2 linked regions of the Struthio camelus genome follow. The protein of the gene in region 1 binds, or shares a complex with, the protein of each later gene. Links are inferred from orthologs where the notes say so. Each region holds a gene or a part of one and is shown in the gene's direction. Other genes may lie near its edges. The genes, in order: THOC1 and THOC7.

Region 1 (3,908 bases):
TTTAAATATAAGGGTAGCCATACATCCAGGAATGCAGGCATTTTGCCTACACTGTGACAGCCTAGACAGACTTAGACTGGTTTATTTAGTGCTAGCCACATACCTTGAAATTTATCACCAGGATGGGCTGGTGGGCTCAGCCAAATATCTGGGTATTTAATAACAGTGATTGTTTTTGGAATTTCAGCACTGGTACGAGCAAAGTTTTTTTCTGTCAGGAAGGGGAGTCAGATGCTTCTGCTTTGCCAGCAGAAGAGAATGCAGGATCAAGAAGTGATGGGAGAAAACCGTATCTCCAGTTAGCTTTGAAGTGCACCTGGGCATCCTAAGAAAGGATAGATAGGAGTACATTTGGGAGGGTTTTATGGCTGCATATCACATAACAAGGTTTCCCAACTAGTAGTTGTGAGCCTGGAAATGCAAATGGGAGAGGGATCCCAAGCCTGGAAATGGATTGTGAACAGCCAAGCTTGGGAACTACCATTACTTAGGATAGCTAGAAAATGTAAAGTACTTAAAGGCATTGAGCCACACTGAAAAAGATACATGTCGAAATAAATATTTATTAATTTGTGCAGGGCTATTTCAGACATTTACCTATGAAACACTCAGTAAACTCCCATTAAAAGTGATTCTCAAAAATGTAGCTGGAGAATATTGTTCAACCTATGAGTTATCATTGAGGCAATTTTACCAATGACATAAAAAATTCTGAGTTATATTTAATGTTACTCTTCCTTCAACGATACTTTGAACGTGACGGTAGATTGTGACTCTGATGTCATTATTAGAAAAAGTAACACAACTTCATTACCTGAAAACCCCCTTCCCTGCACGTTAACCTTTTACAGTTGTTTTTATTTTGACAACATCCTACTAACGGGATGTTCAGTAACACATTCAGCCTCTGCGAAGCTTGACATGCTGCTGAAATGGGATGTGGCCCAGGAGTGCATGGTGGGAGACACACCAACTCACTGCCCTCTTGTTCACATGTCAGGCAGATTGCAAAACCCAGTAGCTTCCTTACAAGTGCTACACGGGGCTCTAAGGATCCCACCAGCACTGGAAAAGACAGAAGGAATACTCAACTAAGGTCCATTTATAGATCGAATAGGTACAGAAACAGGTATTTTCAGCTTCCTTCAGCATAAAGTGGCAGAACTTTTGGGATAACGTGACAAACTGTTACAGGCCATGTTAATTTTGCATGCTTAATGATGATCATAATGCCAATTTGTGCAATAATATTTTCCGCTTCCTTTGAGATCCTAATTACTCAAACGAAGCAACAAAGGAAGAGTTTGTGTTGGGGGGGGGAAGTTCCTAAATTGTTTTTCACCTCAGAATGAAGAACGAATAACCTAAAATTCATGTATCTTCCTCAGAAGACGTAAGGGTTATTTTCACCCAGATAGAGATCGCTCAGAAATGACTCATTCACCAGATGAAAGTGTTGACTCTGGAGTGATACAGGTTATCAGAAACGTTCTCCTTCTTTGCATAACTATTCTTTGACTGCATGCTTTTTAAAAAAGCGCCGAGTCACATAGGGGACGTAACCCACCGCCCCACCCGACAGCAAAGCCAGCCCCCCACGGCCACGCCCCCCCCCACGGCCGGCCCACGCCAGGACCCTCATGACGCTAAAGTCAGGCGTGAGGCGAGGGTGACCTGCCGGCACCGCCCACGGGCGCCCGCGGCCTCGCCACCACGGGCAGCCCCCCCACCCCTGTCACGAGTGGGCGGGAGCGGGGGCTTCGCCGTGGTTCTCGCCGGCTGGGGGGGGGAAGGGGACGATGGCGTCATCAGCGCGCGCCGGGGAGCGTCGGACGGCCGGGACGATGTCGCCGCCGCTCTTCAGCCTGCCCGAAGCTCGGCTCCGGTTCACGGTGAGCGCGGCGGCGGCGCGGGCTCGGCCGGAGCTTCTCGCCCCTTCTCCCGCCATCCGGGAGCGGGTCCGAGCCCGGCCGGGCGGTAGGGCCGGCCGCTTCGCGACGGTGTAGCCGCTCGGCCTCGGCGCGCCGCCCCTCCCCCTCTCTTTCCGCCTCGGCGCGCGCACCGCACCGCACCGCCTTTGCCGGGCTGTGTGCAGGCGGCGCGCGCCTTCTCCGCCAGTCGCCCCGCGCGCTCCCTCGGCCGGCCGTTACCCGCCTCCAACGGCCCGCTGGGGCGCGCGCCGAGCCCGCCGCGCTCCCTCGGCCGGCCGTTACCCGCCTCCAACGGCCCGCTGGGGCGCGCGCCACGCTCCCTCCTGTCTCCCAAGGGTCTGGCAGTCCCTCCAGGAGCCTCTCAGCGCTGCCCAGCGTCCCAGTGTAGAGTCATGAGCGTGGGAGGAGAAGGGAGGCTGTGCCCAGCGAGTTTTCTGGGCTCGTTTGGGTTTCCCAAGTGAACAGGGGTTGAGGAAAGGGGGAGCAGCAGTGAGACAGCGGCAGGTTAAACGGATGCTCGGGGCTCAGGTGTGCAGCTGGATGGAGGAAAGTACCACGTTGAAGGCTGAACTCACCTGCCCTCCCTTCTGCATGAATGGACCTGAATGGAGTGCAGGGGAGAGTTTGACTTGACGTGTATGCCAATTTTTTTTTTTTGCTGGCATGAAGGAAGTTGGAGGAAAGTGTACAAACTTTACTTCTTTGGTCTTTGATGCAAAGAGATAAACTTGACTAGCTGGAGAGAGAGAGAAAACTTTCACTGCATTCACAGTGTTATAAAGGCACGTAGTAATGTTATGACAACAAGAGTGCTAGTTTTATGAGGTCAAGACAAATGTAAAGGGCAGAAGAAAGGACATTAGAAATCTATATTAATGAACTTAAGTTTTGCTATGCTTTTGTATAACGTAACATACAAGTTGATACCTCACACCATTGCCTACCGCACCCGATTGCTGATTCACTAAGACTGAACAAATCAGTGGCCCAGTGCTGTGTTCTCTCTGGTGGGGGAGAGGGGATCTTGACAGATGGTTCTTCCCTTTCCTGTTCTTGAGTGAGTTTACCGTCTTAGTGCTGTTCTTTGTGAGCATTAACTCCCATTAACCTGTGTTTATGCTATCATGCTAATGCATGATAGGCCTTGTCAGGTTATGCATGATATGACAGTAAAAGTCTCCTAGTTTCAGTTCACCTTGTCCTAGTTGCATATCCAGGTTTTTTATCAATATCAGTTTCATACAGAAGAATCCTCTATCTGCAAAAAGTCTGCACAGCAGCAGCTAACAGCAGAACAAAAATTCGAATGTTTATAACAGATGCAGCTGAATGATGCTTAAGTCCAGTAGAGCATGTGTTAGGCACGGTAGGCCTGTGGCAAAACTTCAGCTGTGTTCTAAGTACTGTAGCAACCCGTTATAGCTGGGATATCTTTCTGAAGAGGAAACTGTGTTTTCATGTAATGAGTGCTAAACTCAGTGGTATAAATTTTTGGGCAGGAGTTTTCGTACCAGTTTAGCCTAACTAGGTGAGCTAAAATGAGAATAGTATCCGTGGTTTAGTTAGCTAAAATTAATTTAAAATTAAATCAAAATCTGATGTAACTCAACGTTTGCAGTAAAACATGCCACAGCTTGTCGCCCTTATCTCCTTTGCGCCTCGACTGAATGATGCTTTTTCCTTACTAGAGCAGACTGAGCTGGATGTGTACTCAAGTGGTGGTGCAATTTATTGGACTTTCAAAGTAAGGTGTTGAGATTTGTACAGAAATAGTTGAGGCACAGGCAGTTATTCCGTTATATTGATTTCATTACAGGGAATTTTTAGACCAGCTTGCTAACAGAAGTAATGTTTTTAAACCACCATGAGTTGCCTGTCTGGCAGGTGAAAGTTTGTGTATGGACCTTTCAACTGTTCTAGGTGCAGCATCAGCCATAATAGCATGCTCCTTTATATTTCACTTGGAAGTGTTATTTT
Region 2 (3,908 bases), on another chromosome or scaffold:
TTGTCACTACTGAAGACAAAGTACTGGCTTCAAACAACCTAGCAGTATGTAAATACCTGTTAAATGCCACTATCCAGAACAAAAAGAACCTTGTGATGGCTCACAGCCTTAAACCAGCAAACTACAGATTATAGCGTGCACAGACTTTGTCCTTTTCCTACACTGATTTTCCAAACATCCCTAAAACTGTCAAAACAAAGCACTGACCGAGACAGGAAAATAAATGTTTGGAGCAGAACAAGTCAATAAACTACTTAGCGTCCAAGCCAAAACGAAGGGGGAGTACCACGGTGTGCAGACGTCTCACGTATCATGACTATAGTATGACATATGTTACAGTAATGTTGCCAACTTCAGCACTGCCTAGGTGTCAAAGCCTGCGGTTCAAAAAGCTAAAACTCAACACTTGATACCAATAACACCTTAGTATCTCTTTTCTCCAGACACCCCTATCCCTTTTTTCCAGTGCCAGTTTTGGTTAATTTTTCAGGGAAGGAAGAAATAACTCTTACTACTATGGGCTGTTAATAGCCTAACTCCCCAATAAGGCAATTAGGACGGTCGTTTTTGCCAGGGCCTAGCCTCTGTGGCCGCAGCGTGGGACAGCCACCGCGGCACGGGGCCAGCACTGAGCCGCAGCCCCCACATGCTGCCTCCGCTCTGCTGGAAGCACCAGGCTGCTGCCAGCTGTTGCTGTCCCCATCCCTGCTGTCCCCTTCCCCAACGCCACCCTGGAGAGGCCGAGGCCGGGCACAGCCACCGTCCCTGTCTCCAGGGCCACCCTCGAGAGGCCAAGGCTGGGCATACCCACCGTCCCCCTGCCCAGTGACGCCCTCAACGGTCCAAGGCCGGGCACGGCGGCTGTCCCCCTCCCCAGTGACGCCCTCAACGGTCCAAGGCCGGGCACGACGGCTGCCCCCCTCCCCAGTGACGCCCTCAACGGTCCAAGGCCGGGCACGACGGCTGCCCCCCTCCCCAGCGCCGCCCTCGAGGGGCCGAGGCCGGGCACGGCGGCTGCCCCCCTCCCCAGTGACGCCCTCAACGGTCCAAGGCCGGGCACGACGGCTGCCCCCGTCCCCAGCGCCGCCCTCGAGGGGCCGAGGCCGGGCACGGCGGCTGCCCCCCTCCCCAGTGACGCCCTCAACGGTCCAAGGCCGGGCACGACGGCTGCCCCCCTGCCCAGCGCCGCCCTCGAGGGGCCGAGGCCGGGCGGGAGCCGCCAGCCCGGGGGAGCGGCGGCAGCAGCAGAGCAGCAGGGCCGGGGGCCGACGGGGCGGCGAGGCCGGGCGAGGCGAGGGTGGCCGCCGCCGGGGCCGCCTCGAGGGCGAGGGCGAGCATGTGCCGCGGGCATGGCGGGCCGGGCCGGGCGGGGGGCGGCGGCGGCGGCGGGGCCGGGGGCGCGGTGGCGGGGAGGAGGAGCCTGGCTGCGAGCGCGGGGACCTCCGCTGCCCTCCCCCGTCGGCCCCTCACCTGGCGGGGCCGCCCCTCGCCAGGGGGCCGGTTCCGCGCGGGGCGCGAGCCTCGCCCGCCGGCCCTCCCCGCCGCCGCCGCCGCCGCCTCCGCCGCCGCCGCCGGGCCGCGCGTCCGCCGCCAGCCGGCTCAGGCCCCAGCCGCCGCCGCCGCCGCCTCCCCCTCCATGGCCGCCGCTCTCGCCGGCTGCATTGTGGGAAGCTGACCTCACTCGCTGCTGCCGCCGCCCCGCCGGCTCCGCCGCTCGCCGCCATGGGGGCCGTGACCGACGGTGAGACCTCCCTCCCTCCCGCCCGCCCGCTGCCCGCCGTCCCCCGGCCCGCTCCCCGCGCCGCCTCGGCCGGGGCCGGGCCCGCCGCGCCGCGCCGCTCCCCAGGCGCGGGAGCCGCTCTGCCGGCACCGGCCACCATCCCCGGGCCCGCGGCCCTCGTTCTCTCGCCGCCCCCCGGCCCTCTCGCCGCTCCCGGCCCCTCACGCCGCCCCCCGGCCCCTCACGGTGGCCTCGGGCCCTCTCGCCGCTCCCGGCCCCTCACGACGGCCTCGGGCCCTCCATCCTGGCGCCCCTCACGCCGCCCCCCGGCCCCTCACGGCGGCCCCGGCCCCTCTCGCCGCTCCCGGCCCCTCACGGCGGCCTCGGGCCCTCCATCGTGGCGCCCCTCACGCCGCCCCCCGGCCCCTCTCGCCGCTCCCGGCCCCTCACGGCGGCCTCGGGCCCTCCGCGCTCGCCCACCCGCGGCGTTGTCCCGCCATGTGCCCCCGCTCCGTCCCCCCCCCCCGCTCAAAAACACCCGCTTTGTAAATGAAAAGCGCCCGGACGGCCCTGGTTCAGCGGCAGGAGGCAGGCCCGGCCCCGGCTGCCGGGACCCCGCCGCCCTCCCGCCCGGCGGTTAAAAACGGCCCCTTTTCCCGCCCCAGACGAAGTGATCCGTAAGCGGCTCCTCATCGACGGCGATGGCGCGGGTGATGACAGGCGGATCAACCTCCTGGTGAAGAGTTTCATTAAATGGTGCAACTCCGGATCCCAGGAGGAAGGGTATTTCTGTTTTCAGTCTTGGGAAATAACAGCGTACATTTAAATGGAAATTGGAATAAACTTGGGGTTTTGGGGGGGTGTGTGGAGGGGGGAGTCGCTTCTGTTAAGATGTGCACCCGTGCGTGTCAGTGTGGCTCTGCGGTGCTCCCAGCACAAACAGCGAGCATCAGGGCAGGAGACGGCTCAGAAATGACTGAGCGCCAGTGCTGCTTCGTGATCCGGGCCCAAGAGTCCCGGTGCTGTAACAGGATCATGACTTGAATGTTTTAGCTGGCAGTTCTGCGTTTGTCCTGTTAGGTAAGGACAATAACGTTAGTCTTCTGCTGCATTTTTTTCTTTTTAAAACAGGTCAGAGTTGTAAAAGTTGACCAACAGTGTAGTATTGTATTGTGAGGTCTCTGCTACTGTTGGATATAAATTCCAGGAAGTCGCCGTATATACAGAGGAGTGCTACAGTATTAAAATACTAATCTCGGTGAGCGCAGAGCCTGCCCCAGTTGGGAAGTTTATAATCCCTGGATCAATCTGCCCATAGCTTTAATACTCACTTTGCACCTTTAAGGGCATGGTGATAGAACTAGTTGGTGCAGTGTTTCTAACTGCACTTTCAAAAATTATACATTGAGTCTTTGGAATTTTATTTGTTTAATAATTGCTGTTATTTAACTGTTGCTTAAATTACTCATGCAGGCTTTGGCTTCTTGCTTTATAAAGGTAGGTGACTGTTTTATGCTGCTTAGGAATAACTATCTTGTCTGCTTTCAGTTACAGCCAGTACCAACGAATGCTGAGTACTTTATCACAGTGTGAATTTTCAATGGGAAAAACTCTTCTCGTGTATGATATGAACCTGCGAGAAATGGAGAATTATGAAAAAATCTACAAAGATATAGGTAACAGATATTACTGTTTTCTGTTGGACTATTTCTCTAGTGTGAGGAAGCTTGAGCCAGTGCTGGTGAAACTAATATATGAATATGATGAAAGATTTATTTTTTTTAAGATAACACTGATACAAAAGCTCTAAGCATCTTGTCAGTATCTAAAATACATGCAAGTAAAGTTTTTTTTAAACCCATTGAAGTATGTGTAATTTTGAAGCTGATGGAGCTAAGAAGCCACCATGTCACAAATGGCTCTTTGCCTTTTTGTAGTGCAGCAGATTGGTTTGTTGACATGTATTGTTTGATTTCAGTATAATTCTGTATTCTTTTTATTAAAGAAAATAGTATAGCTGCAGCACACGAGAAGATTTCTGAATGCAAAAAGCAAATCCTGCAAGCAAAAAGGATTCGAAAAAATCGCCAGGGTAAGGAGCAATATCTGTATTTTCACTGAGCAGTTTGCTTATTTTGTTACCTTTTAAAATATATTGTATTAGAAAATAGTTTCCAAATCTCTGAGT

The links.
Region 2: the proteins of THOC1 (region 1) and THOC7 are in contact, whole or in part, in a cryo-EM structure (PDB 7APK), measured with the Homo sapiens proteins. The link is inferred for Struthio camelus from reciprocal best matches to the Homo sapiens genes THOC1 and THOC7. Residues at the interface, in NP_005122.2 of Homo sapiens: Leu10, Arg14, Glu46, Gln53, Arg56, Glu60, Ile63, Ile64, Asp99, Asp102, Cys103, Leu104, Pro105, Arg146, Gln151; in NP_079351.2 of Homo sapiens: Tyr47, Gln51, Leu54, Ser55, Ser58, Gln59, Phe62, Gly65, Lys66, Leu69, Val70, Met73, Arg76, Glu77, Asn80, Ile84, Ile88.

Annotation. Positions count from the first base shown.
Region 1 is NC_090943.1:120,105,875-120,109,782, forward strand, and holds the start of THOC1 (THO complex subunit 1), read left to right. Parts: upstream 1-1,599; 5' UTR 1,600-1,799; coding exon 1,800-1,892; intron 1,893-3,908. UniProt on the Homo sapiens protein: Component of the THO subcomplex of the TREX complex which is thought to couple mRNA transcription, processing and nuclear export, and which specifically associates with spliced mRNA and not with unspliced pre-mRNA.
Region 2 is NC_090955.1:12,527,486-12,531,393, reverse strand, and holds the start of THOC7 (THO complex subunit 7 homolog), read left to right. Parts: upstream 1-1,552; 5' UTR 1,553-1,722; coding exon 1,723-1,741; intron 1,742-2,385; coding exon 2,386-2,503; intron 2,504-3,268; coding exon 3,269-3,396; intron 3,397-3,725; coding exon 3,726-3,812; intron 3,813-3,908. UniProt on the Homo sapiens protein: Component of the THO subcomplex of the TREX complex which is thought to couple mRNA transcription, processing and nuclear export, and which specifically associates with spliced mRNA and not with unspliced pre-mRNA.